Linked DNA regions of Rhinolophus ferrumequinum. The protein of the gene in region 1 interacts with the protein of each later gene in a pairwise test. Links are inferred from orthologs where the notes say so. Each region holds a gene or a part of one and is shown in the gene's direction. Other genes may lie near its edges. The genes, in order: CREB3, DRAM1, SYNPR and EMD.

Region 1 (7,970 bases):
CCCCCTTCTTCCTCAAGTACGGAAACCTCTGGTGAGACCCCGATAAGGGAGTTGAGTCATGCCTACCCTTCCTCTCAGGCTCGTCCGGAGTGGACAACTACATGGCTACAAGGGGTGAGGAAGAAGGGGCACTGAGGAGTGAGCTGGGGGTGATACGGGCATAGAACAAGGGCCCTGGAAGCACAGGGAGAAGCTCTCCCGTTCCTGCTCTGGTCTGAGAACTTTGATCCCCTTTCCATCATGTTTTATGAAACAGCAACAACACCCCCTCCCCCAATGTCCCCCTCCCAGGGAACTCCGCCTCCCTCAAGACATTCCTGAGATGCATTCCAGAGGAGTTGGGCAATTGGAGGGGGAATAGAGGACAGAAGGTCAAATCCCAGCAAGGAATGGAATGTAAGTGTACAGGGGGTAAGGAATTTGGGGTACATGGAGAATATAGTCAGAGCAGATACCTCCAAAGGGAGTTGCAGAAGGACAGGGAGTCACAGAGAAGGACAAAGGGAGAGAGAACACTGAAGACAGAGTCAGAATGGAAGAGGGTTGGGGGAGTAACACTCAGCCTGTTACCAAATTTGGCCTCTGAGTCTGTAACCCGCGAGGGGTGGGGGTGAGGGTTGTGGGTGAGACTGACATATCCAGCCTCAGGCTGCTGGAGGCTCATTTAGGGCTGGACCGGGCGCTGAAGGGCTGGGCCTGACCTCCCCCAACACAGCCCCTCCTCACCTACTCTCCTATCCATACAAATTCATTCTCTTCAAATGCAGCCCAGCCCATCTGTGCACACAGCTCTTCCCCACAAAGCTACTTACACTGTCTCTACATACACGTTATCTCACACACGCAGCCCCTACACAGATCCCATCACAACCACCTTATCTTTCCGTCAAAAACCCCATCCCACGCACTCAGCTTCCCCACAAATATACCTCTATCAGCAAGCACAACAGTCACCCCATGTCTCTTCTTCCATTATGTAGACATTCTCCCTCCATTCACTTAGCAAGCATTTCTGAAGACTTGTTGTGGGGAAGGCCTTGGGCCAAACCCTCAGTGGCTGGGAACCAAGAGTAAGCCCTAGCCTTTGCCCTCAAGGGACTCCCACTCAGCTAAGTGGATGAGCTAAATACAGAATTATAATAGAGGGAAGGATGTAAAGAGCCAAGAGGTGTATGCTCAGGGCAGTGATTCCTTTAGGTAAGGGAAAGGGGACCAAAAAATCTCCATGAAAAGTGTCCTTTGAAGTTAAAATTAAAAAAAAATAAAGATAATAAAAAATAATAGTGATCTTTTTATTGACTATATGTCCATTGCTTTGTATACATAATTTCGGCAATCCTTACAACAACCCTGCAAGGTAGGCGTCATTATTTCCAGTTTTACAGATTAGGAAACGGAGGCTCCAAGAAGTTAAAAATTTGTTCAAGGTACTTGTCCAAAATCACACAGCTAATAAGGTATGAAGCCAGGATCCGAACCCAGGTCTCTCTGACTCCAAAGCCCAAGCTCTCTCCACTACATCAGCCGGAGATGAGTCAAGGGTAGCATTCCAGGCAGAGAGAATAGCATAAGCAAAGGTGGAGAAGCAGGAAACCATGGAGGAACATTCAAGAAGTGAGCAGACAGGCTGGCTGAAGCACAGGGTACCTGCAATGGAGCAGTTAGGGTTAGGATGGAAAGGCAAGGGAGGACTAGAGAGAAGTATGAGGGATTTTACCTCCTGGAGGGCAACAGAAGGCCAAGGGAGGCTGTGTGCAGGGAAGGGACATCACAAGAACTGGATTTTAGGAAAATAATTGGCAATTACTTTGGAGATTGGTTAGAAGGACACTGCATTAGCACAAGTGGGGGGTAATGAAGCCAGAAATAGAATAGTGGAGAGAAGGATGTCACTCATTGGAAACTTTAAGACATAGAACTAAAAGGACCTCATGACAGCCTGTCCTGTCACCCCTCAGGGCCCAGGGCCCAAAGTCAGGCTTCTTGTCATTAGTGGCCCCTCAGTGGCTGGGATAGCTTGAGTTTAGGTAAGAAACTGGGAAGGGGGAAAGAAAGGATCAGGGTGAGCTGCGAATGTGAGGATGAGCTGTGGTTAGGGGATGTGGTTAGGCTGTGGGAAAAAGGGGGTGGGGATGTGGACGGTACCACGTAGGAGCAAAAGGGATGAGGTTAGTATCCTGTGTCAAGTAGTACTAGACTTATGGGGTGGTCACTTCGTAAAGTATATAAATGCCTAATCACGATGTTGCACACTGGAAACTAACATAATATCGTATGCCAACTGTAATTGGAAAATAAATTAATTTAAAAAATACAATGCATACACATGCCTCCTTTTAAAATTAAAAAAGAAGTGATAAGGTTAGTTACTGAACTGGACTGGAAATGGGGAAGACAAGGTACCGAGAAACGTGGGGTAAGATGGCAGTAGGAAAAAATACATATGTAATCAGTCACCACTTTATGCTGGGGAAGAGGAAGAATAGTTCTGTGGACAGTGGCTAAGTCAGGGAAGGATGAAGTGAGGTCAGAGGCTAGGTCAGGCTACAGGAGGCTGAGAAGAGATGGGCTGTGGTCAGGAGCTAAATTAGGAAGGCTGGGATGGAGGGAGAGTAAAGGGACACTGGTAGTGTCTAAGTAAAGCTGGAGTTGCTGGGGTGGGGCAGGGCATGGGGTGCAGCCAGTGGCTGCATCAGGCTGGGTAGGGGATAGTGCTGTGGTCAATGGCAGGGTCAGGCTGGGAGTAAAAGGGGGTGTGGTCAGTGGCCTGCCTGGGCGTGGGATCAGCAAGACCCAGTTTCCTCTTTGGGTCTCATTTCCTCTTTTCTGTTTAGGGAGTGGGGGAAGGGGATCTACAACAGGACCAAGAAATTAAGGAGGCTTAGAATCAGGGAATGGCACATAGCAGGGATGAGGGGTACTTGCCAGTTGTGTTGGGCTGGGGGTGGGGTATTCAGCAAATGACTAAGAGGTATACAGGTGAATGAGTGGGTGAAAATGGTGGGAGAGTGCTGTAAAATAATGGGAAAGCTCGGATTTGGGTGAAGGTAAATTAAGGTAGGATGTGTAGATTAACAGGTAGGAAGGGAGGCAGACCTGAGGCTAGGAATGGATGGTAAGATGAACATGGGAGAATTAAAGGCAAGGTAAGTATTCTGTAAAGGAATATGCAGGAAGAGTGTGAAATGCAGGGCCAGGGAGAAGAGTTGGAGAGGAGGGCTTAATATCTAGATAATGAAGGAAATAGGAGGCAGTGGGGCTGAACTTTGAGAGGATTCAGTCATCCCTTTCTTCCCTTGGCAACAGTGTCTCCTTGCTCTACTTCCCTCTTAGTCACCCGTCCCTTCTCCCCTAGGCGGTCCCCCACTTATGACTAGGCCTTGACCTGTCTCCCACCTCCTATCTTGTAAACAACATAGTCTGGGAACCCCTGCCTCTCAAATGTGGTGGCCATAGCAAGAGCCTTTGGCTTAGAGAGTAGAATAAAGAAGGTGGAATCCCAGATGCCTGCAATTCTAGCTGAAGTCCAGAACTATGGCGTGAAATTAGTTTGTCATTTCTCTAGGTCAAAGAAGCCCCTGCAACTACATAGGAAAAAGAGACTTCACCACCGCAAAACAAGGACATCCACCTACTGCCAATGTTGTAACTTTTACCTGCTTGAAGTCACTACCCTAACCTCAACCACCACCTCTAAAACTGCCCCTAATTTCTAATATTAACCTTGACCCTAATTTGTTTCCTGTTTCCCAATACCGGTTTTGACATTCATCCCTTCCTGGGAAGATACCTGTATCCAATCCCTGATCCCTAATATTGATAGAATTTTTACCTTTAGCACTAGATCCTCTGACCTTAACCGTAAATGTTGACTCCTAAACCTATAGCTCATTTGTCAGTTGATTCCTGACCCATCCCTTCACTGTTTGACCCTAATACGCCACGGTTCTCTAATCCCTGAAACTGAACTTCTAACCTAATTCCTGTTGTTGACCCTGAACTCTAATTTTGACTTACTCTGGCCATCCTAGAAAACAAAATAATGACCTTAATCCAAACTTTATCTATATAAAAGGGACCTGGCTCAGGCTAATAACTATAAATTTCAACCCTGGCTCTATAACTCCTAAAGCTAACCTGATTCCTAAATCTAATTTCACCTAATCCCAAACTCACCCAACGCTTTCCTAGCAGCTAACCTCAAAAGCCGATCCCCACCCTGCACCTCACTACCACCCTACTTCTCATCCTCCCCAAAACCTATCCCAGACAGAAGACTGCTCCCAGGAAGGGCCTGGCTCCCGCAAAACGGCCTACCTAACTCCGAGCCCAACCCCGGATGCACTGGACGCTGACCCCTCCAACAAGACCCGAAACAGGAGACGCAGGAGAGTTAGGGGCCCCGCCTGCCCACCCGCCTCCCCGGCCTGGCCTCGAGGCCCCACCTTGAGACTCCCCCTTGGCCCAGTCCAGCCTACCTGAGCTGCCCGGCTTGTGCCCCGCCCGCTGGCCCGCTAGCCCGTCTGTTCTCCCGATGGCTCTCGGGCTCCGGCCTCGCCCTCCCTTCGGCACTCTCGGCCACTTCCGTCCCTGGAACGTCCCCCACCCGCGGGCGGCGCCCTGGGCCCGCGCTCTATGGTTGCGGGGGACGGCAGGAAGCTGCTCTGGCCCCAGCTCTCGATGCTCGGGAGCGCGCTGAAGACCGTCTGGCCCTCCCCCGCAGGAAGCAAGGGTGCGGCGCAGTCCCGGGGAAACGGCCGAACTGCACCGCAGTTCCTTTGGAGTCTGATCCTTCCTTATTCTAGCTTGGGGCAAAGGCGGCGCCGGCTCCCCAGAATGCCCGCCCTCAGGGTGTGAGGAAGCAGCAGGGACCTCCCCTGTATTTGCATAGCTCCCGGGACGTGGCGCGGCACCTAAGCCACTTCCGCGTTTAGAGAGAACTTTAAGTCCCGGGATGCTTTGGGGTAGGCGTGTCACTTCCGTTGTGTTGGAAGCTGCGGAGAACCGAGTCTCGGTGGCGGGTCTTGTTTGAGAGCTACGACTAGTAGCTACGGGGAAAGCCGGCCGAATAGGGACTAGCGGATAGGTGGGGCTGACTCACAATCGGTGAGGGTCGTGCATGGGGCCGGGTGGAAGGGTGAACTCCTGCGCTTGTGCCCATTCTTTCTGTAGGTGGCCCATATGGATTTGGCGTTGGACCCGGGTGACCAGGACCTGTTGGCCTTACTACTAGAGGAAAATGGAGATTTGGGGGTGGCGTCCGATGCGTCCTTCGAGGCTCCACTGGACTGGGAGTTGCCGATTTCCGAGGTGGGCGGGGGCTCTGAGCCCGGGAGGTGGGGGGCGGGGTGTTCTTGAGGATGGTGGTAGGTCAAGGCCTGTTAATTTGAATCCTGTTCAGGCACTGAGCGATTGGGATGTAGAGGATTTCCTGAGCTGCCTGACGAGTTTCCCAGCATCGTCGAACGTTCTCAACAGCTCGAATCCCTGTCTGGTCCATCATGACCACACCTATTCTCTCCCACAGGAACATGTTTCTATAGATCTAGGTGAGTCTGAAATAAGTGAATTTTGAGGGGAGGAAGGGACTCATGAACCTGGCTATTCACTTTCCCTTTTGCAGATAGTGGGAGTTCTGGAAAAGAGGAGGCCCAGATGACACCCCTACATGTGGAGGAGCCCGCAGAACAGGTACTTTGTTTACTGGAGGATTATTCCCACATTGCACATTATTCCCACATTGCAGACAGGATTCCTCATTCCTCTCTGACATGCTCCCTTGTGACTCTGCCTCCCACCTTTCTGTAACCCCAGGAGATTGTTAGGCTGATACTGACAGATGAGGAAAAGAGGCTATTGGAGCAGGAGGGGCTTACTCTGCCAGAGACATTTCCTCTCACTAAGGTAAGACTCCCAGTGGTGGATCAAAGACTGGAGGGGTGAGGATTGAGTCCCAAGTAGTCCAATTCTGTTAATTTTTCATCAGTAACTTACTAAAGGACGAAAGTGAGAAATTAAGCAAATTTGCTGCTAATAGGAAGCCGGGGGATGTAGTTATATACTGGATGCAGGGGCAGATCCTGGTTTTGTGGGGCTTACACAAATTTTGGTATTCTTTGTAGGAAAGAATTCAAAATTACCAGTGCATTAGTTAGTATAGGGACTTGGAAAGGACTGTGCAAGCAAGGGGCTCTGACATTTAGATTTCACTAGGTGGATTACCATATCTATCTAGCTGAAAGGTCGAATTAAGTTTTAGAGTTCAAGACTGGACTTAGTAGTATAACAAGAATAAACGTAAAATCTTGAGTTTTAAGTTTCAAGAAGCAATGGGTGGCAGTCTCGCAAGCATAATATTGTGATACTGTGATGAGATCAATGTTCATTGACAGAAAGGTTAAAAGAGTTTCTTAAAAGTACAAGATGAGTCAGCAGTGTGATATGGTCACTAAGAAAGTGAATGGGGTTTGGAGGCTGTATCAATAGAGGTATTTCCTCTAGAAGGGCAGTGACTATCTTGCTCTCCTTTATACTGGTCAGAGCATATCCTAGTGCCAAGTTTTGAGTCCAGATCTTTGACAGATAGTAAAAGGAGTAAAAGGACACAGTCCATCCTGAGGAGGTAAGATGATGAGTTAAATATTTTATCCCACCCCCCAAAAAAGTTGCCCAGATTTATCTTTGCTTGGAGGAAATGTTGAGTGTCTTAAAATAGCTGAAGACCATTTGTTCTGTATAGCTCCCGAGATTAGGTATGAGGTAAGTCCAATGGATAGAATTATCGAAGCAGATACTGGCTCAGGATAGGGAAGATTAATTTTAATTAATAAAATTGTTAAAAATAGTCTGGCTTATGAGGGTGTTAACACCTAGTCCTCAGAGGCATTTAGCCAGAAGCCAAGTGCCTACTGGTCAAGGAAGCTGTAGAAGGGATTCGTGCATTGGCAAGATTACTCAGTTGCCTTCCAACTCTTTGGTCCAGTGTTCTGTGATGATACCCCTTTTCCCTGTATTATCTCAGATGGAGGAACAAGTTCTGAAACGAGTGCGGAGGAAGATTCGCAATAAAAAGTCTGCTCAAGAGAGCCGCAGGAAGAAGAAGGTGTACCTGGGGAGTTTAGAGAGCAGGTATAAACAGGAGAGGGGCTCTGGGGTGGGTGGAACAGAAGTAGCTGGAAGTGATATGTTTTTGAAGGGAGGATACAGGCCATATCCCCACATCCCTGTTATTCCCCCAGGGTCTTGAAATACACAGCCCAGAATTTGGAGCTACAGAACAAAGTACAGCTCCTGGAAGAACAGAATCTGTAAGCAACTAACCTCAGTCTCTTCTCATCCCTCCCATTTAATGAGCTTTCACTCTTTTCCCTGCTCTACATTTGATTTCCAACTGGGCAGCTCCCACATGCAAGGTCTGGTGTATGGCCTTTAGTGGGTCTGATTCTAAGACGCTCACAGTAATGGGGATTAAATTCACAAGTAACTAAGGATGAGTTAAGTATCAAGAAAGACAAAAGGAGGGAGTAAGAAAGACCTCACAGGGCAGATGGCATTTGGTAGTAGATAGGATTCGGGGGGGGGGGGGGGGCGGGGGGGGGAACATTTTAGGGAGAGAGAACACAGCACAGGTTAGTCTGGCTGGAATCCTAACATAGGTGAGTTGGGACAGAAGGGAGAGAATGTAGGCTGCCTGGTGAGGTTTATGTGCATAGCTACTTAGGCAGTATAGAACCACTGACTTTGCAAGAGTTTAAGTCAGGGCAGGGCAGAGGTGTGTATTTGTTTTAATGAGGAACTTCAGGCATTTTGTCCACAGAGAGGACAAAATGTCCTATTTGCAAAAATAGGACAAAAAACAAGCGAGTTAGAGCTTCTGGGTCTCGTGTATACATGGGGTATACGTTATTAAACATTTTCTCCTGCTTAAAAAAAAACAAAGAGGACCTAGTGCACAGATGGAGGGGTGGCCT
Region 2 (7,342 bases), on another chromosome or scaffold:
GGGTGGGAGATGAGGGTGAGGGGGATCAAATGTACGGTGATGGAAGGGGAGCTGACTCTGGGTGGTGAACACACAGTGTGATTTATGGATGATGTGATACAGAATTGCACACCTGAAATCTATGTAATTTTACTAACAATTGTCACCCCAATAAATTTAATTAAAAAAAAGAAAAGAAATAAAAATAAAAATATGATAACCAAAAAAAAAAAACTTTATTGCTAAAAAAATGCTAAGCATCATCTGAACCTTCAGCAATTCATAATCTTTTTGCTGTTGGAGTTGGTCTAGTAAAGTAAATTGAAAACCTTCTGGAAAGGATTCACCATTCTAGATGATATTGAGAACATTTGTGATTAATGGAAAGAGGTCAAAATATCAACATTAAAAGGAGTTTGGAAGAATTTGAACCCAACCCTCCTGGATGACTTTGAAGAGTTCAAGACTTCAGTGGAGGAAGGAACTACAGACGGGGTAGAAATAGCAAAAGAACTAGAACTAGAAGTGGAGAGTGAACATGAGGCTGAATTGCTGCAATCTCATGGTAAAACTTCAACAGATGAGGAGTTGCTTCTTAAGGATGAGCAAAGAAAGTGGTTTCTTGAGATGGAATCTACTCCTGGAGAAGATGCTGTGAAGATTGTTGAAAGGAAAACAAAGGGTTTAGAATACTACACAAACTTAGTTGAGAAAACAGTGGCAGGTTTTGAGAGGCCTGACTCTAATTTTGAAAGAAGCTCTACTGTGGTTAAAATGCTATCAAACAGCATCACGTGCTACGAAGAAATCATCCGTGAAAGGAAGAGTCAATCGATGCGGCAGACTTCATTTGTGTCTTATTTTAAGAAATCGTCACAGCCACCCCAACCTTCAGCAACCACCACCCTGATCAGTCAGCAGCCATCAACAATAAGTCATGTTTCACAATTATTTATGTGGGGACAGAGTCCCAGAGAGCAGTTTCCAGGCTCTCGACCTCACGTGGAAAGGTGCTGGCTCGGTTATTAGACAGCCGTCAGCTGTAATCAGATGGCCGTCCGCTGGGGCTGGGTGGCCATCAGCTGTTACCGGTTAGCCATTAGCCACTAATATAACTGCTGTGGCTACGCTGGCAAGGGGGTTGGTTGGTTGGCAGAGAAGCGGGCGGCAGATTGTGTCTCCTGCTTCCTGTGTTTCCAACCCAGCCGCCAGCGAGAGCATAGTGGTATGACTCCCCTATCTATGGCTCTGTTGGTGTTCCTTTTTGGCCTCACCATATCCTGTGTTCTTGTGCAGGGAGCGGGAGCTGAGTCCCTGCATGACAATTTATGTTGTTATGTAATATTGTATAAGTCTTCAAATTGCATAAATACATACACATGTACAAAAATAAAATATAACTACATATATTTTAAGGCATTTCCATCTGTAATTCTGGAGTTTGAGGAATTAGGAGAGTGAGACAGTTCTTCACAATTGTTAGGATTACAGGCTCATGAGTCAGATAGACCTGGATTCAAATTCTGCCTCTCCATTCATTAGCTGCCTCTCCATTCATTAGCTGCATGACCTAAGCTCAGTTTCCTCATCCATAAAAAGGGGATAACACCTGCACTTTGGGATTCTTTAGATGAGGAAGGACACTCACTGCCTTTCAATAAGTGGTGGCTACCAAGGAAGAATAACTTCATCCTCAAAAGGACAGTCCTTTGAAACCCTTACTGAGTCAGTATGACTTCCTTTGACAGTGAGAAAGTCAGGAATCAATTCAAGGGGAGAATCGCACTTTCATTATATATCATCCTAAAGGTACCCGGTGTAGGGGAAGAAAAATATTTAGGTTCTCAGTGGGTTCTCTGTTAACATGACAAAGGAAAATGGTTTTAGGCTGGGGGGGGCAGTAAACTGGGAAGGTAAACATATGGGGGGAAGGTAAACATATGGGGGAAGCTAACTCAGTAAGGTTTGTTAGCAAATTCCTCTGGTGCCATCTCTGGGCTAAGAGTCTAGAGCAGTATAAAGGAAACTTATACCCTGCCTTTAGACAGAAAAGGAGGAGGAGGGTAAAGAGAGCTCTTCCTGCTTTTGCTGGGCTTCCTAATTGCCTTACAACTCAAAGTAATTATGTCAAAGAGGCATATTTTGGGGTGACATATTTTGGTTTCCTTCACCAGTAAGGTTGTTTTCTAGGACTTCAGCATTTTGTACCTGTTGATGTAAGAAACATCCACACCTGCAGAGAATTTTCACAAGAGTTTTTGTGAACCAAACTGAGGACATATGCCAGGGAGTCAGATCTTAACTGCTCCAGAAAATAACAGTTTTGCACTTTCTTTTATGCATTTGAAATTAAGGAATGTAAAAAAGATTACTTGGAGGTGGGGGAAAGCAAAGTGGGGATTGGATTACAGGATAGTTAACAAGATTATGTGCTCTCTTTGAGGGCGGTTAAGGCTTATTTCAAAGAGATATTAACTTAGATGCACAGAAACAGTGGACAAGGCTTACTTAAGGCAAAGATAAACCTTTCACTAAAGAAGTTATATGCCTGAGGCATGACCTGCCCAGTTAGGAATTTATGATCAGATCGCCCTGGGAGGTTACTTTCCATAGAACTCCTTTTCTCATCCACGCACCACATAAACTTTACTATTCCAAGGAGAAGGTGTTATAAGGTCTACGGGACCGAAAGCTTTTAGAAGAGGAAGCAGTGCAGTGCTTCTCAGGACTGCTTGATATCATACGTACATATATGTGTAGTTAGTTACATACCTATTTTAAGTGTATACACATATACATACTTATTTTAAACAAGAAAATACCTATTGCTGCTATAGTCAGACGCTTGTAATTGCTTGTGTTAAAGGTGATTAGCCAGCTGGATTACTTAAGGGAATTGCATAAGCAACAGAAAGACAAGACAATCAGGTGAATTCCATTTGATGTCATAATTCCTCTGCCTCAGGGAGGGCTTTTTAAATCAGATGAATCAGTAGTAGAGAAGGAAAGGAGAAAAGGAAGGGGACGGAAAGAGAGTGATTTTCACAACTTAGAAACCTAGGTAGAGATGTGCAATGGATCACCATGGATGGCAGCTTTTGTGATTTCTAAAAAGCCTTAATTTAAAGCATTTGTTTTATTCGATATGGTGCTCACTCACCCCAAAGCCACAATGATCTGAAATATGAGTCTATCCATATTCTTACACTCTCCTCACTACCAAAAAATAAACCAAAACACAAAAACAAAGATTCTTAGCAGGACTCTGGTGACATGGCCTGTTCGCCTACCTCTCCATTCCCTGTCTTACACTTATCGGAGTGCTGTTTTAGTTCCAGAAAAACAAGCAATTTCACACTCTATGCATTTTCTCCTGTTTCCTTGGCCTGGAATGCTAGTCTCACCTTTCTTTGCCTGATGAACAATCATTTACTTTGGGAAACTCTTAACATCGTCTGTCAGGAACCTTTTCCTGGTTCTTCGTCCCAGCGCTGGCCCCTGCCTCTCAGCTCTGTGCATATCTCTGTTTTATTTTTTTAATCTCCTCTTATCTATTTAATGTTCCATACAATATTGTTTTATTTTGAATGTCAGTTCTCTAGATCCCATAGAACTATTTAATCTTTTGTATCCTGTCCCCTAGCAGGGTGTGACAACCGAAAACTTTATGCAGCTGAAATGAACCCATGTTTGGTCACCAATGACCCACTCACCCCCACCACATACCTTCAGCTCAGAATCCCTAAACTATATCTCAAAATCACCATGCTTGCAAGTGCCTCCAGGACATACGTCCCTTTTACAGAGTTTGAAATGTATTAAGTCACCTGTACTTCTCTTAGATCGTGTTTCCCATTCCTGGGCTAAGCTTGTTCAGTGAGAGGAGAAAGGGAAATCTAATTCCTAAGAAACAAACACTCCAAGCCCACTTTGGTGTAAAGCAGAACTGTGGGCGGCACAAGGGGCCACCCAGCCTGTCTAGAGCTCAGTCCCACCCAGGCTCCCACCAGCCCCCACACTCTCTTGGTTTCCAGGTGTACACAATCCAGGTGCGTGTCACATCCGTGCCGCGCGTGGCCTGGTGAACGTCACCGAACACTTCTCCCGGACCCCTGCAGCAGTAATAGCAGTGCGACGGGATGGGGTGGATGTCACCACGCGGTGGTCACCGTCTCCCCCGAGAAGTGCAGGCGTTGGGACCTCGAAGGGGAAGCCCTGGGTGTTCGTGGTCCCTTACCCCGGAAACCCCCAGGGAAGGAGGGGCTGGGAGGGGTTGATCGGTTTCTCCGGAGTTGCGCAACCCGCAGCTCCCAGAGGCGGGCATTCATTCCCGCCCGCGTCCCCGGAGCAGCCCGCCGCGCTGACCCCTGCAGAGCCCGAACCAAAAGCGAAAGGAGCCGCGTCCCCGCTTACCTGGCGTCGCGTCCACGGGGTGGTCGCCGCGCTCCTCCAAGTCGGCGGGGTACCGCTTTGTGACTTCACTCATTTCGCAACAAGCCCCGGCCGCCCGGACCCCACCCACCCCGGCCCGCCGCCTTGCCTTCCAAAGCCTCCTCGGGTCCCCGCGCTTCCTCTCGCTCTGCGGCTGGGCCTGCCCCCGCCGTCGCGGAGCCTCCTGTCCCGCAGCTCGTGGCTGTCAGTGCGGGGGACGCCGCCTGGCTGGCCAGCACGTGGCGGCGCCCGCCCCCCCCAGCAGCCAGGAACAGCCCGGCGTCCCGACCCGCTGAGCGCAGCGCATTCCCGGCGGCGCGATGCTGTGCTTCCTGAAGGGAATGGCTTTCGTCCCCTTCCTCCTGGTGACCTGGTCGTCCGCCGCCTTCATCATCTCCTACGTGGTCGCCGTGCTCTCCGGGCACGTCAACCCCTTCCTCCCCTACATCAGGTGAGGGGCAGGGTGAGCGGAGGACTGGGGACCAGGCAGAGGCACCACAGGGAAGCGCTGCTGATGGGGAGGACGGGGGACCAGACCCAGCTGGGGTGTCTTGTGGAAAGACCGAGGTCTGAACACGAGGAGAGGAGAGTATGCACCCTGGCAGATGTGTAGGGACGCAGGGGGTGCTGGAGCTAAGCAGTTCTGACTTGACGCAGAACACAGTGTCATCACGAGGGGTTCGGGAGAGACAGGAGAACTTTCAGACTGGGTGCGGGACAGCATCTCTAGAAGACGCGTCTTTGGCGATATTGAAACAGGACCTGATGGATGCTGTTTATTGAGAGTGCAAGTTGCAGATCCAGGTGTGCGCTAAAACAGCTCACATGTTTCACTTCTGCTTCCCAACATCCTCTTGAAGTGGATGTCTGGCTCATTTTTCACGAAAGGAAACTAAGTTTAAGCAGATGTTGAAATACCATCAGTGTGACACTGATGTCACAGCTAGGAAATGGTGAAAGCAGAATCCACGCCCAGATCCATTTCATGCCAAAAGCTACACTGTGGTACCTCCAGGTCATTGGGGGTCAGGGTTTCGCTCTCCTGGATGGAGCTGCCCAAGATCCCTCTGGGTTCTGTGCCCCCAAAGTCAGAGCCCTCAAATTGTCAGCTTGTGACATCCCTTGTGTTGTCTCATGTGTGTTTCTCATGAGTTTTGGCCTCCACCTTTTTAGGGTGACTTCATCAGTGCCCAGGACACACGTCCTGATCCTCTCCATGTGCCTCCCAACTCGGTGCCTTGCTCATGGCAGTGTTTTTTTTAGAACAATTCATCTTTATCCAAGAGGTGTGACTCCTCTGGATCTGTATTGGCTGGTGAGGGGATAATAAAGTTGGTGACACCCAGTGTTTGTAGAGATTATAGATTGTAGGGCTTCTCCTTTCTGCAGCCATTCTGCCTTGTGCACAATATTCTGTAATATGGGTCAGGAAGGGAGTGAAGATGAAGCAAGAAGAGACTCGAGTTTAGAGATGCAAGGAAGAGCATTCTGCAGAATGGGGCAAATATACAGTATTGATGCAGAAAGAGGGGCTTCTTGCATCAAGCAGACTTTCTCACTAGGCCTTGTGCCCCTGCAGAAACCTGGGCTTAGTTTCTCATGGCTCAGCTCAGTCCCAAGTGCCACTGTGTCACTCCTCCGGATTCTGAAGCAGCATAGATCCTCTTAGACTTGTGTAAAAACTTCTCTCCCTGCCATGCTTTTTATTGAGAAAAGAGTAGCTGTATTTGTCCCAGATCTGAAGGTCAGGGACAGATAATATTTGTCTCGCATTGGCGAGGCAGTCAGAGGCAGGGTTTGAGTGTTTGTAGAGGTGTCTGATATAGTTGTGATTAATATTACCCCAAGGTGAACCTGAAATGGAAGACATTCAGAAATGGGGAAATGAGCTGACAAGACAACCACTTGTGAGATGCGCAAATCACAGACATTCCAAGGGAGAGGGTTTAAATTTAACAAGGAGAGAAAGCCTTTAGAAAAAGAATTACAGGAAGAAAAGGCATGAGATTGTTCCCTTGTTGCCAGGAGCCATCAGTCTACAAACAACAAACGTGTATTTCTTGCTCACATGTGCCTGAGGCTTTGCAGTTGTCTGCTTCCCTGTAGACAAGAGCAGCTGGCGCATTGAATTGCTCCTGCCCCTCCTAGAAAACCAAGTCACTGAGGCAAGGACAAGATGTAGGTAGATAAGAGCTAGACAACAGGACCTGGTGGAAGTAGTGCCAAATTTGTCAGTTTTGCCCAGAAGTGTTGGCCCTTATATCCTATAAGTCCTCTCTGCTCTCACTACCTCCTATTCTTCTTTACCCTCACTCCCTCCATTTCCTCCAACCACACTGGTTTCCTTTCTGTGTCTCACACATGTCAGGCACACCTCCTTCTCAGGGCCTTGGCACTGATTATTCTTCTGCCGGAGTGTCCTACCTCCAGATTTTGCCCTTACCTCCTTTGTTCAAGTATTATTTCAGTGAGGCCTGCTCTGATAGGCCTATGTAAAATTGCACCCTAGTGCGCTTGATCCCCCATACCCAGTCTTACTAGTCACCAAAGCTCTGTCACCTTCTAACAAACTATATGATTTACTTATTGTGTTGATTACTTGTCTTCCTTCTCTGGAGTGTAAGATCTAGGAAGGCTCTCAACATTATTTGTTGAATTAATATTTCTCAGGCACTCACTGTGGTTATTGTATTCTTCCCCCTCAAGCAGGCCAGTTCCCTTCAGGGAAGGCCTGAGTCAATCACTGGTGGTTGGTCAATGATTTGGATGTACAGATGCTCCTCGACTTTGGGGTTACCTCCTGATAAACGCATCTTAAGCTGAAACTATCGTAAGTTGAAAATGCGTTTAGTAATCTAACTTAACTCTTTCACTGCATTAAATGGTTTCAAGTTTTTTCTCCAAAATGTATCAAAAATCGACAAAAGTCGAA
Region 3 (7,990 bases), on another chromosome or scaffold:
GCTGAGATTTTTAAATTTCTTCGAGCCTGTGTTTCTCATCTGCACGAGGGGAGAAACAGTAGTGCATACTTATAAGGCTGATGAGGATATTAAATGAGTTATGCCTGTGGGGGCACTTAGCATTATATCCAGCATCTACTTACTGCTTTATACATCTCAAGAGTCATTATTCTGATTACTGTTATGACTATTATTCCCTGGGGTGAATCTTTTTGACATGAGTTTTGGTCCTCTAATTTGCATGTATTCAAGCCTGGCCAAATTTACACAGATACCTTTTGTTTAAAACAAAGATTGACATAGAAATAGTAAAAGTATTTTATGATGCAAGTTCACATTGACCATCCACATTTGAATTTTTATATCAGTTACAATTGTTATTTAAGAACGATCCTATTTGAATGCTAAGAATTCCATAGGAACTCTATGGAACCTTATTTCATGATGAAGTTTTATACCAAATGCACACACATGCTTGCACATTTTATGATAGCCATTTAAGTTGAAACACAAATAAGTAAGATGACTTTATTTGATCTTTGGGTTGAAAGAGAATGCTGTAGTTATTATAAAATGAGAGTTATTGAAAATATTTCCACACCACCTCCTGTCCTGTGTCTCAGTGGCCCTATGCAAACCGAATAAGCAAACAAATAATTACACAGACATGTTATTGGCCTTGGCTTGAGTCACTGGTTAAGGAAAGATTTGGAAAGTTCATGTTAACAGTATGAGCAGAGAGTAAAATAGGTAATATTTTGAATGACTTCTACTCAATTCTTATTTCCAGTATTTTAAGTAATTAAACATATGTGTAGTATTTCCTCCTATATTAAGTTGCTATGGATAACATTTTAACTTACTTTTTCCTCCTTGCCATCAGAGACATGAGAAGATGAAGCCCAGGTATGCTTTTTCCTGAAAACGAGATTTAATTTGCCTGAATAATGCAGGTCTGTCTACCATAGCTTGGTACTTTGGTTTTTTGTAGTTTTGCTTCAAGGTTAATCCTCTTTGTGATTCAAAATGGTTGTTTTTATAATTTGAATTTTGTTTATTTGCTTGTTTGGCAAATGCTGAGCTGAGTATATCCGACTAAAATGTAAGCCCTGTGAAGGCAGAAATTTTGTCAAGCTGTTTACAGTACCTAGGACAGTACCAACACATAATAGGCATGCAGTCCTTACTTGTTTAAAGAGAAGTCAGGGTTTCTCAGCCGTGGCACTCTTGATATTTTCCAGATGATTCTTTGTTGTGGGCAGTTCTCCTCTGCATTGTAGGATGTTGAGCAGCGCGTCCTTGGTCTCTCAGCTCTAGATGCCAGTAGCACCAACCCCCAGTTGTGGCAATTATAAATGTCTCCAAGCATTGCCAAATGACTCCTGGGGAAAGGAAGGGCCCAAATCGTTCTCTGTTAAGAACCACTGCAGTAAATTAATGGATTGCTTTGGCATGTCAAAGAAAGTCTTCATAACTATAAGTCCCTGGCAGAAAAAAAAAAAAAAAGGAATTTGGAAACTATCTGACTTACATAATCAATAGAGATCATTTATACCCCACAAAAGTTAATGTGATTGTTGAGCCAATGCAATAGATTTGTGATAGTAAGTGGGAACTTACCTTTTGCCACCTTGGGAAAGAAGAGAAGGGGTCACCCCTTAGCCACTGAGAGTAATATTTTGGCAGTATTTTCATTATCCCTCCTCCCTCTCCCAACCTAGTTCTTGAGGAAACCCAGTGTTATTTCCATGTCTGAATATAAAGGTTCTTATCCCAAAGATAACAAAATATTTAACATTGCAAATGTGATATGGAACTCTGGGTTATTTTCGTGATGCAGCTGTTTGAAGCTCATGCATTTCAGGAACGTGGAAAGCATCTCTGACAATGTGCAATTGTTGTCTAAGCTATCATACTCTCATTTGCCACAATTCTGGCTTCCTTCACGTGGTGTTTGTAGGACTGGAAACATTTGCCACCATATTAGCAAGAAGGAACATTAGGTGTGAAGAGACACCTGAGGGAATAGGCTCAATAATCACACTTCATCTCTGCCAAGTTCACAGCTCAAATGAAATGCAAATGGGAAATATTTTAAATAAATCACTCTCTCTGTCCAAAGATATACAAATGTTTAGATGACCTGGGGCAAGTTACTTAGCCTTTCTAAGCCTTAAATACCATCCATTAAAGGGAGGGTTTTGGTGATGCTTAAATGATGTCTGTAAAGCACTTAGCACAATGCCTGGCATGTACCAGGAACCGAATTATTAGCTATTATGATCATTAGCATCATTATCAAACATACAGGAGATGTTATACCCCATAAGCTAGTTGACTATCATGGAAAAAGCAAGAATACACTATCAATGAGTTCATATGGACTCAGGGTAGAATCTTGGTTCAGCTACTTACTAGCTGTTTGAACTCTTGGCTCAATCAGCCAGAACTATTATATGTTGTGCTACAGTATCAAAAGACTTAAAAATTTCACTTGTTACAACCCCAAATGCTTTTCTTGCTCAGGTTTGAGTCCATTAAGGTCTAGTTGCACCTTTGTTCTACATCATCCTTAGGCTGGGACCAGGCTGTCAAAGTAGCCACTATGTAACACATTGTATTCAACGTGGTAGAAGACAAATAAACAAGAGGGCAAGTCACAGAGAGATTCTTAAAACTTCTGTCCAGAAATGCACACATCACCTCTGGCCACATTTTCTTGGCCAAAATAAGTAAAATGACAACTCCTGAGTTCAAAAGATCAGGGATATATATGAGACGGGCTCAGCAGAGAGTGGCAGGTCAGTGCTACAATGCACCAGTCTCTAATGTGACCCTCTGGGCCTTCATCTTTGCATCTGTAGAAGTGTAAGCAGTGAGGAATGTAACTAACACATGTAGAGAGTTTATGATGTGCCGGACTCTGCCCTACACATGTAATTTACAAAATCTCACTAAGACCTCTTAATAACCAGCCAAGGTAGATGGGTGCCACGGCTCCATCTTTCAGATTTAAAAAAATGCAAACAACAACAACAACAAAAACTGGGTATTGAAGAGACAAAGTAACTTTATGCATAAGATTATATACATAAATTGCAGGGTACACACTAAGTACTTGGAAATGTTAGTTCTCTCCCCCTCCACTTGTGGTTGCATAATGGCTTATTTTTGAAACAACATTTTTAATTGTTTTAGACTCTTTCTGCATGTAGGAAGAACAGTAGGAATAAAACTGGCTGACTGAAGATGGTGCAACTAGCCCTTTGGAGTCCTGACTAAATTAGTAGTTTTTCTCTAACAAAATCCATGGACAAGGGGCATCTACACTGGACACTCTCTTATACTCAGTTTTGGCCTTCTGCCTCCCCTTCCCAATCTGCAAATGATTCATTTCTTTCTTCTCCACTTTCAAATATTAGTTACTACCCCCCACCCCTCACCTCCCACCCCCCCCCCCACACACACACACAAACTCCAAACCTTGGCAAATCTTTGTAGTAAACAGATGGCCTATCTGTGTTGCTGGGAGACCACTTCATACATGGAATCCAGTCCAAAGGGAATATCAGCTACACTGGGCTAAGAGCTTTCTCTGCTCTCTCTCTCTCTCTCTCTCTCTCTCTCTCTCTCTCTCTCTCTCTCTGTCTCTCTCTCTCTTTCTTCTGACTCCTTTTAATATTCTTGCTCTGGCTTCGTTATCTACTAGCTGTACATCCCTGAGCAGACAGACCTCTTCCCTTCCATGATCCTCAATTTCCTCATCTCTAAAATGAGAATAATAGTACTATTAACCCATAGGGTTTTGTGAATCGTTAATGAAATAATGTTTATAAGCCCTTAGTGCAATTTCTGACTCATAGAAAGAACTCAATTGTTTTCTTGTTGTTTTTATTTATTATTTTCCTCAAGGTTATTAGACTAAGGTTAGTAGATTAAGAATCTGGGGCCGGCCCAGGGGCTCAGGCGGTCCGTGCTCCTAACTCCAAAGGCTGCCGATTCAATCCCCACATGGGCCAGTGGGTTCAACCACAAGGTTGCCAGTTCAACTCCTCCACTCCGCAAGGGATGGTGGGCTGCACCCCCTGCAACTAGCAAAGGCAACTGGACCTGGAGCTGAAGCTGCGCCCTCCACAACTAAAATTGAAAGGACAACAACTTGACTTGGAAAAAAGTCCTGGAAGTACACACTGTTTCCCAATAAAGTCCTGTTCCCCTTCCCCAATAAAAAAAATCTTAAAAAAAAAAAAAGAATCTGAGTTTTAGAAGGGGGGCTTGGTCCTACTTATGATGAATTCAGGGACTTCATTTGAGATGTACCTAGGCAAAGGAGCTTAGTAGAAACAGCATGAATTTCAAAGGAACTTGAATTCCAGTCACTGCTCAGCCCCTCATGAGTTGTATTACCTTGGCCATTTCGGCCTACGTCTGTATTCTGCTTTTAAAACGGGCACAATAATTTGCTCCTGACTTCATCTAGTGGCCATAGGGATTACCTGCCTGGCACATTGTCCCATATTCAAGATGAGTTTGTTTCCCTCTCCTCTCTAGTCCGTTCTCTCTGAGTCCTAACCCTCTGCTTCCCCGGGGCGAAGGGGCAGTGTTCACCCTACTCTTTGCTGCATGCCAGCACCTGGGCACTGCCTGGCCACAGGGAGGGCGTTCCATGAAGGCTCGGGGAAATAGACAAGTCACCAGCACTCACACAACTACGCGTGTAAGGTGTGGATGCCTTTCTGTTCCCTGGGAGCCCCTGCGTCAGGCAGGAAGCCGTCTTGTTGATGGTACCAGCCTGCCTTCCTCCATCAACAGACCCCAAAGTTTCCCCGGAGCCTGAGGGCGTGGGGCGCGCGGCCGAGCCCGCACCAATGCCTGTGGCTCTGCCTCGCCCCCCTGCCCGCCCTCCCCTGAAGCTCGCAGCTGGCCAATTGCAGCCCTCTGCCGGCGCTGGCTTTCTTCCCGCCCCGGCCGCCCCCCCCATCCAAGCCCGTCCCTCCTCAGCCCTCCGCTGCCCTGCTCCGCTCCAGGCGCGCGGGCTTCGCCGAGAGCGCAGAGCGGGGAGCCAGCGCCCGGCACCCCGATCTCCCGGGACCCTGCCCTCGCTTGGCTGCTCCCGGCCTCGCTCCTCCGGTTCCTCCCGAGAGGAGGCTTCCGGCGTGTTCCTCGAACTTCATTTGAAAGGGAACCGGTGGGTAGGAAGACGGAGCAGGGCGAGTTATGGACCCTGTGAGTAAGGTGAGACCGAACGGGGCAGGGCAGCTGGTCCTGGGGACCCCGAGGCTCCGGAGATGCGCCCCAGCCCCTGCCTCATGCTTTCCCTTTCTCTCTCTTGTCTCATTCGCCCATAGCTGGCCTCAGCAGGCACCTTCCGGGCGCTGAAAGAGCCCCTTGCTTTCCTGCGAGCCCTGGAACTGGTAAGTAGACGCTTCTGTGCGGGGAGGGGACCCAGGGGGCCCACCATCAGGCGAAGAGAGGTCGGGTGAGGTGCTATATGCTTGGTTCTGCTCAGAGCTGGGGTTCAATCTCCCTATTTCAATCCTCCCCACTCGCAAGGTGCCATTCCGGAATGGCGGGGACAGGAATGAGGGACCCTTTGGAGGCGGGGGTGTGGACGAATTTTTGCAGGCGCTTAGACGAGGTGTTATCTCACCTCAGCGCTCGCAAACGCGCGGTGTCTGATGAAAGAGGATTCCGCGGGAGATGGAGATGGGAGGGGAGCTGATGGAGGGGCTGCCGCCGGGGTCCCTCTGCTCACCTGGACTTTCTCAGGGGCGAGGGCCTGAGACGAGGGACGTGGGGCTGAGCGGGGTAGCTGGGAGGACTGAGCCAACCTCAGAAAGTTGGTCAGCACCGGGACAGCTCTTCGCCTGGGCTGGGACGCTGGAAGCGCTGGGGTCAACTGCTCCGCTGCAGCTCCAGCGACAGAGAAGCTGCGAGGCTATGAAAGATACTGGGCTGGAGAGTGGGGTTCCTTCCTTCCATGTTGTAATTTCTCTACTCTGGCCAGTCCTAGCGGACTCTTTTGATTTTTACTGGAAGATCTCCCCAGCCTTCTTTGTGTAACATGCATCACTGACTGGGTTTTGGGAGATTATGTTACTCTTAGATTTTGCCCCCTTAAAAAAAGAACAATTGATGACAGTCGTATGTTAACTTGTCTGTTGACAGAGGAGTGAGGCAGAGAAACTCACGGGGCCACAGAGCAGTATTAGTGGTGTTGGCTTGGGTGATGGTTATTCAGAGTGAAATCTGCAGGTCACACGTTCCCTCTTGCTAGGAGCTCTCAGAGGCAAGCGAACCTTGTGAACAGAAAGTTCAAAGCCCGTCACGTAGCATTAATCACAGGCCCTACCACTGACTAGCTGGGAAATTATGTAAGAGTGTGTTCTGCTCTCCCAGATCTTCCTTCCGAGGGCTATTGTCTCGGTCTGGCTTTACAACGGTGGTGCCTGTTTACATGGGTGATGTACAGGATAATCGTTATTTGCAGACCTGCATAAAAATGCATAAATATATCCATTTTGACATATGTTAAGACTGCATTTGCAAATCTTGAGCTAGAGGTTCAGGAATGCCTATTCTAAAACTGTTTTCCTTACAGCTCACTAAGTTGAACAAATCGAGCAGCGCTCACAGTCCAGGAAACTTTCAGTTGTCTCAGAATTCTGTCCACATTCATTCCTTCAGCCATCTAATAAACATTCCCTGTGAAAGAGTGGTGTCTTTGATCAAAATAATAGCTCCATTGCCAAGCCATTGTCTCTCAAAACAAAATTCAAAGACCTGACATAATTTTTCTGACATAAACTCTTGTCTCACATTGTCATTTACCTGAAACGTTAGTTTGTATTCTCTTCAATCCTCTTACATTATTTTATGCCACTACTCACCACACAACCTCTACTGATAAATTTCAAAGGCTGGTAAACCTGGATGAATTTGTTTAAAACGCAGATTTCTGGACATTAATCAAAATCTTGAGAAGATGAATGCCCCAGAATCTGCATTTTAAACAAGTTCTCTGGATAATTCTTGTGCACAGTGAAGTTGGAGGACCACCTCCCTAAGCTCCATCCAAAACTCAAAAGCATTTTTCCCCATAAAGACTTCGCCATTTCTGTTCACAGTGTTTGCAATACCCTCACACCCACAGCCTAGGAAAAAAAAATGCTTGTCTTTTAACCTCAGCTTAAATACTACCCCCTCAGTGAAGATTTCTATCATGTTTACTCCTTTCCATATTCTCTACTGAATTCTTCACCTCATTCTTTGGGTTTCCATTTCATTTCATTCATTCATTCATTCATGAGAATTTATCATATTGCATTACAGGTGTCTTTTTCTTGTGGGGGGGGAGAAAGAGAGAGAGATAGAGAGAGAGAGAGAGAGAGAGAGAGAGAGAGAGAGAGAGAGAGAAATAGAAAAGTTACTACATTTATAGTCTTTCCTCTCTCTCTTCTAGGTCTCTAAGGCTCTAAGGAAGAAGGGCTTTTGGTTTTTAAATCAGGTATTAGCCTCTCATTTGTGGACGAGAACCTGAATAATGGACAAAAAAAACCTTATATACAAGTAAAATAGTTGATCAGCACTTTAAAAGAACTAAGGTGGCGATATGAAAGCAGAGAGATAGAAGGTTAGTTGCTGAGAAAGTTTAACACGGTGGAGAGAGGGAAAGAAAACATGTTTTTTGTGCATGCAGTGATGTGAAAAGCCACTCTGCGATATCCTTTCCTGCAGGAGATCTTGGCAATGAGAGAGAGTGTGATCTCTTAGATGGCAGAACATTTGTTCTATTTGTCTGTTTCCCACTAGTGCTTTTCCTAGTGCTTGGTGAACAGTAAATGATCAACCAAAAGTGTAAATCTACAATGACAGAACACTGAAAATATCCCAGTTTCTCCAGTTCTGTGATAGAGCATCTTTAAAGTTGGTAGTATTTAAAGTCTTTAAAGTACAGTCCTTTTGTTTTTCAGTATTTATGCTGTAGAAA
Region 4 (7,583 bases), on another chromosome or scaffold:
ACCCCCGCCCCGGGTCCGCGAGTAGCGCGGTGACCGTCTCGCGCGGACCCGGGCCGCGGAGGCCTGCCTCACCTGCTGTCCCTGTGGGCGGCCCACAACCGCAGGGTGGCGCCCCGCTCGCCTTTGCGCCCGCGCCCGGCGCCTCTGGGCTCCGCTGGCGTCCGCTGCGCGCCGCGCGCCTCCACGCGAATGGGCCGCCGCTGCCCGCCTTCTTGTTGGCCGCACCCCCGCCCCGCGCCCGCCCCGCGCCCGCCCCGCGCCCTGCTGGGCGAAAAAGCCTTAATTGGTAAAATCGCCCAGTGGCCGGGGGGCGGGGGCGCGCCGTGAGCTCAGCGCCCCGGCTGCTTGGTGACGCTCCCCACCCCCCACCCCCCACCCCCGATGAGCTCACCACCCGGTGAAGGCTGCCGGGGTGATGGGGGGAGGTTGCCTCAAGTGCCCGTGGGGTCTGCAGGGCTCACGTCTCAACCCAGCTGGAAAGGCCACCTCCTCCAGGGAGCCACCCACAGTCACTGCCCCTACCTTTGCCCCAAGCCTGGGCTGGCCAGTCAAATCAGATTCTGCCCTCTGGGGTGGTGGGGACAACAGATCTTTGCAGGTGTGTTTCACTGAGCACTTACCACCCACAAGGCCCCAGTGGGGCAGGGACCTGAGTCCACGGTGATGAACAAGCAGCCTGGCTGCCACTGATTTGGCCCCTGCCTGGTGCCAGTCCAGGGAGGGGGCAGCAGAACAGTGGTGAATTCCTAGGCGCACAATCAGATGCAGTCCCAAAGCCTGAGAGTGTACAGTGAGGTGCAGCCAAAGAGCCAAGTGTTTGTGAGCCGGGTGGCACAGACATGCCCTGGCACTGCCAGGCTCCCTCTTCCTCTTCTGCCCATTTCCTGGTAGTTTCAGATTCAGCTCAAATGTCACTTCCGAAGAAGGCCACATAAAACATGTGCATGCGCACACACAAACACAAATAATTAAAACAAACATTTCACAAAACAAGACTCTCCCTTAGTACCTGCAAAGCTCTTTGATATTTTCCATTCTACTCCATTAAAAGAGAGGGCGAGGGAAGAAGGAAGGAAGGAAAGAAATAAAAATGGAAGGAAGAAGCTTGGTCACACCTGCTAAAAGAATTTGGCGATCTACAGTTTACCAGTAACAGGAAGGCGCTGATCACCCTCCAAGCTTCCCTACAGCCACTCCTGCCTTTGCTAGTGGTAGCTCTGCTTTGACCTTTCCACCTTGACCCATGGTGGGATCTCCTAGCAGTGTCCGGATTTCCAACTCTCACTGCTCCCTCTGGTGGGACCCGCCCACCACCACAGCTGAAGAGGATGGTGGGTTACCATCACTTGATAGAGGAGCGACCTGAGTTCAGGTCCATAAGGTGGCTGTGCTGGAGCTCATGGCCAAGGCTATCCTTCAAGGAGGGAAACCCACCTACCACAGGCATTGCCATGTGTACAAGAGCTGGGGGACACGAAGGAGGCGGGCCACGTGCCTGGATCTCAGGACGCCCCACCTCCATGTGAATCCTCTCTTCCCACTACTGCCTCTCTCGCCCTCCACACACACCCCTGAAATACACACAGCTCTTGGTCTCTCCTTCTTCCAGGTATAGGGGGAACGAAGGTTTGTACAGCACCAACTGTTCCCTGGTAATAACCGTCATAAATGAAAGACTTTTTCTCCTTGTGTTGAAGGTTTTGGAAAACCACTAGAATCAGCTCTATTGCTGCTGCCAAGGCAGGCTCACTCTCCAACTGGCTGTGCCAACGGCTCCCACATGAACCGATGCTTCTAGGGTTGGAACATGAGGCATTCTTTGAGAGACTTTAGGTCAGCTAACTATTCAGTGTTTTATGTTGATTGTGACAATCATCCACACATACATTTTCACAATAATCATCATCTTATGACTTTTGTTACTACCTGAGCAATGTTTCAAAGCATTCACATACCAGGTAAAATCCAAAGGATCTCTAACATCCTTGAAGAGAAGTTTAGTACTAAAGTATAAGAAGATTCTGATCTTACAGAAAACATTAATAACTCAGTGAACAATCATCTCCTTGGACATGGATGCTGAGAAATATATTCAGGTTGATATTCTTTTTCCTTATAACTTTCAATCTGGCTGGGATTGCAAGTTATACAATATAGTGCTTAGAAGCCATCCCCTCTGTCCTTAAAGGAGAAACTATCTTACTCTTGATTTGGAGTCGGCGGCTTCCTAGCCCTTTCCACCCTGGCTGCAGTACCACAGAAACTCAGCTTCTTTAACTCTGCCCACCCTTCCCAGGAAGACTCCCCTGGAGGCCTCAGATTTTCCCCAAAGCCCCGCTGAGGACTTGGAACCCCTGCTGTGCCAGACTGTCCAGATTATTGACCTGAGGATCCGGTACTGGCTGAGGGAACAGTCCATGAATGAATTGCAGTACTCAGGGCCCTTGGACAAGTATCCTCCCTCTCTGGCCCCCCAATTCCTCCTCTTCCTGATGGGGGTGCTGCAGAGGGACTCTCAGCTCTGATGGTCAAGGGTTCGTCCTGGTTCCTGGTGGTCTGGGATGGGTCTGTGCTGCAGCGGGGCTGGTCGTGGGTGCCAGGTAGCCATGGGGTGAACGCAGGGGACCATCACAGTTCAGCCTCCTGGTGCCATCGATGGTGGGACCTCATATTGGGACAACTGGCGTGGGACATAAAAAGCAGAGTGCCGAGGCAGGTGCCAGGGAGGGGGTGTTCCTTGGGGAGAAGGCAAACCTAGAATTCCTTGACCTCATAAGGAAACAGCTTAGATGTGTACAGGGAGGGGTGGCATGGGGGAGGACTGAGCCGCTGGGACATGGGCCAGCATTGCAGAAGAAGGCTTGGAGAGGTGCTGGGGAATCCGATCTTGCCAAAACTCAAAATTCCATGAGGCAGCCTCGAGTGGCCCAGACCCCAACGCCATTTCCCTCCCTGCTCTGAAGCCATGCATGCACGTGTCTGTGACCTACATACTTCCTCCTCATATTTTAGGGGACAGAGCAGACCTCACCTTTCCTCTAACAACCCAGACAACAGCAACTCTTCTGAGAGTCTTTGTGTGTTCCCAAACCACAGCCCCACCTCCTCACCACTCCCTGGATGGCTGCCTCTTCTCTACCCCATAATCAAACCTCCATGGAGAACTGGTCTGTGACCCTCACCAGCTGGCTCAGCCAGCCTGGGTCTGAACCAGAGCCCTCCTTACTTCTGCTTTCCCTGTCACCAGCTATCATCTATAAGACCAGGGACAGCACCTCATCTCCCCATTCTCCCAGTTCTGGGCCTGCCCAGGGAGGGGCATCTCAGCTGGCCACACACTCCATTGGCTGTCTTTGTTTACAACATGTCACCTCCTTTCCAATCTCCACTGGACAGCTCTTTACTGACCAAGGCCCTTACCAACTCCTAGTGACCGTCCAGGCTCTTCAGCAGGCCTTCGCAGCCTTCTGTGGTTTGCCCCCCTCGGTCCTCTGGCCCTCCGGTCGGTCCTGGTGGGGAGGGACTCTGCACTGCCAAGGCACTGCAGCCCACCCAGACCCAGGGGCTCAGAGCCTGCCAAGTCTTACTGGAACCCCCGAGCAGGCCACTCTGGGTCTGGAAGGGACCACGCCTGGCCATCTCCTGGGGTCACGCTGTGCTCAGGGGCCATTCAGACTGGAGAGGAAACCCCCAGTGCCCCAGGTGGACGGCAACCCCAGGCGGACACTCGCTGTCTCTGCATGCATCACACGGCACTCTCTGCCAGTGCCCATTGGCACGGGCCGGCCCCTGCCAAGGCTGCTTGCTCCTGGAGTGCTGGCGGCCTCCTGGCCCAGTGCCCCATTTCCTCCTGGGTGGAGCAGGTAGCGGGGGAAGCTGTGGGGACCGAGGGTGCAGGTGCACAGGCCAGGGCCAAGCAGAGCAGAAAGGCCGTCCTGAGGCAGGAGGTCTGAGGGTCGGCCTGAGGGTCGTCCTAGGTTCCGGGCTCTGCGGGGCCACTTCCCTAGTGTGGCGCACGCGCTCAAAGAGCTGGCAGCAGCGCCTGGCCAGGGACCCGCGCTGTCCAAGGGCTCGCCCTTAGGATCGGGCCCCTTCCCGCTGCTGCCGGGGCGGCCGGGGAACACCAAACGTTGGAGCCCTGGAGGTTGGGGGATGGGGGCTGTGGTGGCTTGAAGGGACCGGGCGGAGCCCACGTAACTTAAGGAGGGCGAGCCACTCCAAGCACCGCGGCCCCGCCCCGCTCCCACGTTCTGGCCGGTTCCTGCCAGTTCCACTCGCACGGCCGTGTCCCTCCTCGCTTCACGCCCGAACTCGCCAGCCGGTGACGTTTGGACTCTGCGGCCCCGCCCCGCTCCCCTGTCAACGCGAGTCTATGCTGTTTGCCCTCGCGTGCAGGCCCCGCCCCTCTCTCCCGTCTAGCCCAAACGCCACAGCCTGTGACGCACGGCTCGTCGACCCCGCCCCTTCCCCTGGCCGTGCAGCCCCGCCCACTCCCACCATCCGACAGGTCCGCTCTGCTTTGGCTCCCTCTCAAGCCCCGCCTCTCTTTCTCCACTAGCCAATCCTGACTATTTGTGACGTCTAGGCTCACCAGCCCCGCCCCGCCCACTCCCACGGCAGGACCGGTCTGCGCCGGCTGCTTCCCAGTGGCCTGGCTCCGCCCCGCCCTGCGCGCGCAGCCCGCAGAGCCCGCGACTGTGACGCCAGCGTGACGCAGGCGTGACGCGAGTGCAGCCGCTCCCGAGGCATTCGTGTTACTCCGGCCGCGCTCCGAAGCAGTTGGGCCTGTGTTGCTAGGCCGGGGTCGCCCCCAGGCCTTCGCCGCCCGCCATGGACGACTACGCGGTCCTGTCGGACGCTGAGTTGGCCGCCGTGCTGCGCCAGTACAACATCCCGCACGGGCCTGTCGTGGGTACGCGGTGGCGGACGGGCCCCCTCCCCGCGCTAGGCCCTGCGGGCCCCCCCCCGACCCCCTCCCCAGGCTCCCGTCCGCGCTTCGCTCCCCCTCCTGGGACTCCTTCCTCGGGCTCCCTGCCTGCGCCCCTGACCGCCCCGCGCCCCATGTCTGGCCAGGCTCCACTCGCAAGCTCTACGAAAAGAAAATCTTCGAGTACGAGACCCAGAGGCGGAGGCTCTCGCCCCCGAACTCGTCTTCATCCTCTTTCTCCTATCGGTTCTCCGGTGAGGCCCCCACCTCAGAGCCCCACCTGGCCGCCCGTGGGGACAGGGTTTGGGCTATGGGGAGGATGGGGTCTCGAGGGTGTGGCAGGGGCGCTGGTAGGGAGGGGCATGGCGAAAAGGGAGCGTGGGGCAAATGGTTCTGCGTCCCCTCCTCCCCCAATTTAGACTCAGATTCAGCATCTGTGGACTCCGATATGTACGATCTGCCCAAGAAAGAGGATGCCTTACTTTACCAGAGCAAGGGTAAGGCAGCAGTGGGCCCTGACGTCATTCCACTTCCTCAGGGATCCTAGTGTCAGAGAGAACCTGAGACTTCAACCCCCACCGCCCCTCAGCAGCCCTGGAGGGGAGAAACAGTGTCACAGGCCCCAAATGGGATTCAAATTAGGGCCATTGGGCCAGGCAGGGGACACCGCTGCCCCCTCTGCTACCGCTGTCCCCCCCTCCCAAGGCTATAATGATGACTACTATGAGGAGAGTTACTTGAGCACCAAGACTTACGGGGAGCCTGAGTTTATGGGCCCATCCAAGGGTTTCCGCCAGCACTCGGCGTCACTTTCAGATGCGGACACCTTTCACCACCAGGTGAGTTAGCGGTGGGGCACCCTCTATTTGGGTACAACCTCGGGGGGCATAGCTGGGTTTGGATACATCAAGGAGGCCACTGGGTGCAAATGGTGGCTCTCAAGCCTCCAGGGAGAGATGGGAGCAGTAGACACCTGATGGTCAGGGCCCTCCTTTGGGGAGCTGTCAGAACTGTTTGACGAGAGCACATGGGACATGCTCTGTACCCTGATCTGGGATCTGGGTTTGAGCTCTTCCTGATAATCTTGGGGCAGAAAGTAGGGTGCGGCCAGCCAAGACAGTCACTGAGCAAGTGGCAAGGCCCCACGGACATAAGGCCAGGAATTCCGAAGGGTTCTGGAAGGGGGCAGAGCCCTGGCCTTTCAGCAACAATCAGACGAGGCCCGCCAGGGAACTTTGGACTTTATGACAGGGCCACCCTGACCCTGCCAGTCATGCTCCTTACCCTGATTCTTTAGGTGCGTGATGACAGCCTTTTCTGTTCTGAAGACGAGGGCAAAGACAGGTGAGTAGTGGAACGGGCCAGGGGTCGGGGCTGATTCTGGGCCCATGCCCTCCTGGCCCATCTACTCCCCTCTTTGCCTCAGGGAACGCCCCATGTATGGCCGGGACGGCACCTACCAGAACATCGCGCACTATCGCCCTGTTTCCAACATCTCCAGAAGTTCCCTGGGCTTGTCCTATTTCCCCTCATCCTCTTCCTCCTCTCTGGTGTCCTCATCATCTTCCTCCCCCTTGTGGCTCACCCGCCGTGCCATCCGTCCGGAAAAGCAGGCCCATGGGGCTGGCCTGGGCCAGGACCGTCAGGTCCCACTCTGGGGCCTGCTGCTCCTGTTCCTGGTCTTTGCTGCCTTTCTACTCTTCGTGTATTACTTCATGCAGGCGGAGGATGGCAACCCCTTCTGGACCCAGCCCTGAGGGTCTGGATAGCTTTGGCCAGCCCCTCTCAGAAGTCCTGGTCAACTGCTTTAGGAGGGTTTTCTGGGGGAGGGGGGGTTTTCTGTGTGTCCTAGCTTGGGGGTGCTGGGCCTGGCCTGGGGCAGTGCTTGCTCCCCCTGCCTTGTCCTGCCTTGTCCTGCCTTGTCCTGACAGGAAGGTAAGCCGGCTCAGGTCCTCTGCAGCATGGTGGGCCTGGGCAGACCTTCCTCAGGAGCCTCCTGGGCCTGCTTGCCTCTGACCCTTAGGACCCAGGAGAGCCAGACCCTGCTCCTGGAGAGAACATGGTTGTTGTCATCGCATGCCTCCTGTTCGTTGTCACCTTGTTGGGATTAACCAAAGGCCACCCTCACTTTGTTTTCGTGGACACAATAAAAAGACCGTTTGTTTTTAATGTGTGGACTCTTCCTGCTGGGGAAAGGGTTGGGCTCTGCCCTGGGTCTCTAGGCTCACCACCTGGCTTAGTTGGTTCTCCCTTTTTGCTCTGGGCTTTGGATAAGGATCACATGTCACCCACAGACGTGTTTGGGATTTGCTTGTGGGGTCCACTCCCTGACTCATTACTCAGACTTCTTATAACTAGTTATGAAAATAACTAGCAGCACGGGGTCTGGAAAGCCCACTTGGAAATGCAGGCGAGGGTACACGCACAGTGCTGGCTTGGGACATTTTAAGCAGGGAGAGCTGAGGCCAAGCCCGGTGTCGAAGGGCTGCACGTGCTCGGTGGGCCATTTCTCCTGGAAGCTGCTTGTTGAATGCAATGGGGAAAAGCTCCGAGTATTCTGAAATGCCCTATCACGCTGGGTAACCCAGTCCCTCAGCTGACTAGCCTCACTCATCTCCAGGTTTCCCGCTGTGGGTGTTGTGTCATCGTCACATTT

The links.
Region 2: the proteins of CREB3 (region 1) and DRAM1 interact in a two-hybrid assay, tested with the Homo sapiens proteins (2 studies listed by BioGRID and IntAct). The two-hybrid records come from large-scale screens. The link is inferred for Rhinolophus ferrumequinum from reciprocal best matches to the Homo sapiens genes CREB3 and DRAM1.
Region 3: the proteins of CREB3 (region 1) and SYNPR interact in a two-hybrid assay, tested with the Homo sapiens proteins (2 studies listed by BioGRID and IntAct). The link is inferred for Rhinolophus ferrumequinum from reciprocal best matches to the Homo sapiens genes CREB3 and SYNPR.
Region 4: the proteins of CREB3 (region 1) and EMD interact in binary tests that used the Homo sapiens proteins (3 or more experiments, as listed by UniProt). The two-hybrid records come from large-scale screens. The link is inferred for Rhinolophus ferrumequinum from reciprocal best matches to the Homo sapiens genes CREB3 and EMD.

Annotation. Positions count from the first base shown.
Region 1 is NC_046295.1:51,910,929-51,918,898, forward strand, and holds the start of CREB3 (cyclic AMP-responsive element-binding protein 3), read left to right. Parts: upstream 1-4,967; 5' UTR 4,968-5,086; intron 5,087-5,172; 5' UTR 5,173-5,181; coding exon 5,182-5,310; intron 5,311-5,401; coding exon 5,402-5,549; intron 5,550-5,623; coding exon 5,624-5,691; intron 5,692-5,814; coding exon 5,815-5,904; intron 5,905-7,021; coding exon 7,022-7,128; intron 7,129-7,238; coding exon 7,239-7,307; intron 7,308-7,970. UniProt on the Homo sapiens protein: Endoplasmic reticulum (ER)-bound sequence-specific transcription factor that directly binds DNA and activates transcription. Plays a role in the unfolded protein response (UPR), promoting cell survival versus ER stress-induced apoptotic cell death.
Region 2 is NC_046293.1:17,428,503-17,435,844, reverse strand, and holds the start of DRAM1 (DNA damage-regulated autophagy modulator protein 1), read left to right. Parts: upstream 1-4,327; 5' UTR 4,328-4,730; coding exon 4,731-4,861; intron 4,862-7,342. UniProt on the Homo sapiens protein: Lysosomal modulator of autophagy that plays a central role in p53/TP53-mediated apoptosis. Not involved in p73/TP73-mediated autophagy.
Region 3 is NC_046300.1:57,381,161-57,389,150, forward strand, and holds the start of SYNPR (synaptoporin), read left to right. Parts: upstream 1-4,985; 5' UTR 4,986-5,217; coding exon 5,218-5,235; intron 5,236-5,348; coding exon 5,349-5,414; intron 5,415-7,990. UniProt on the Homo sapiens protein: Intrinsic membrane protein of small synaptic vesicles. Probable vesicular channel protein.
Region 4 is NC_046284.1:6,245,692-6,253,274, reverse strand, and holds EMD (emerin), read left to right. Parts: upstream 1-4,681; 5' UTR 4,682-4,830; coding exon 4,831-4,912; intron 4,913-5,073; coding exon 5,074-5,181; intron 5,182-5,346; coding exon 5,347-5,424; intron 5,425-5,632; coding exon 5,633-5,766; intron 5,767-6,224; coding exon 6,225-6,271; intron 6,272-6,353; coding exon 6,354-6,684; 3' UTR 6,685-7,081; downstream 7,082-7,583. UniProt on the Homo sapiens protein: Stabilizes and promotes the formation of a nuclear actin cortical network. Stimulates actin polymerization in vitro by binding and stabilizing the pointed end of growing filaments. Inhibits beta-catenin activity by preventing its accumulation in the nucleus.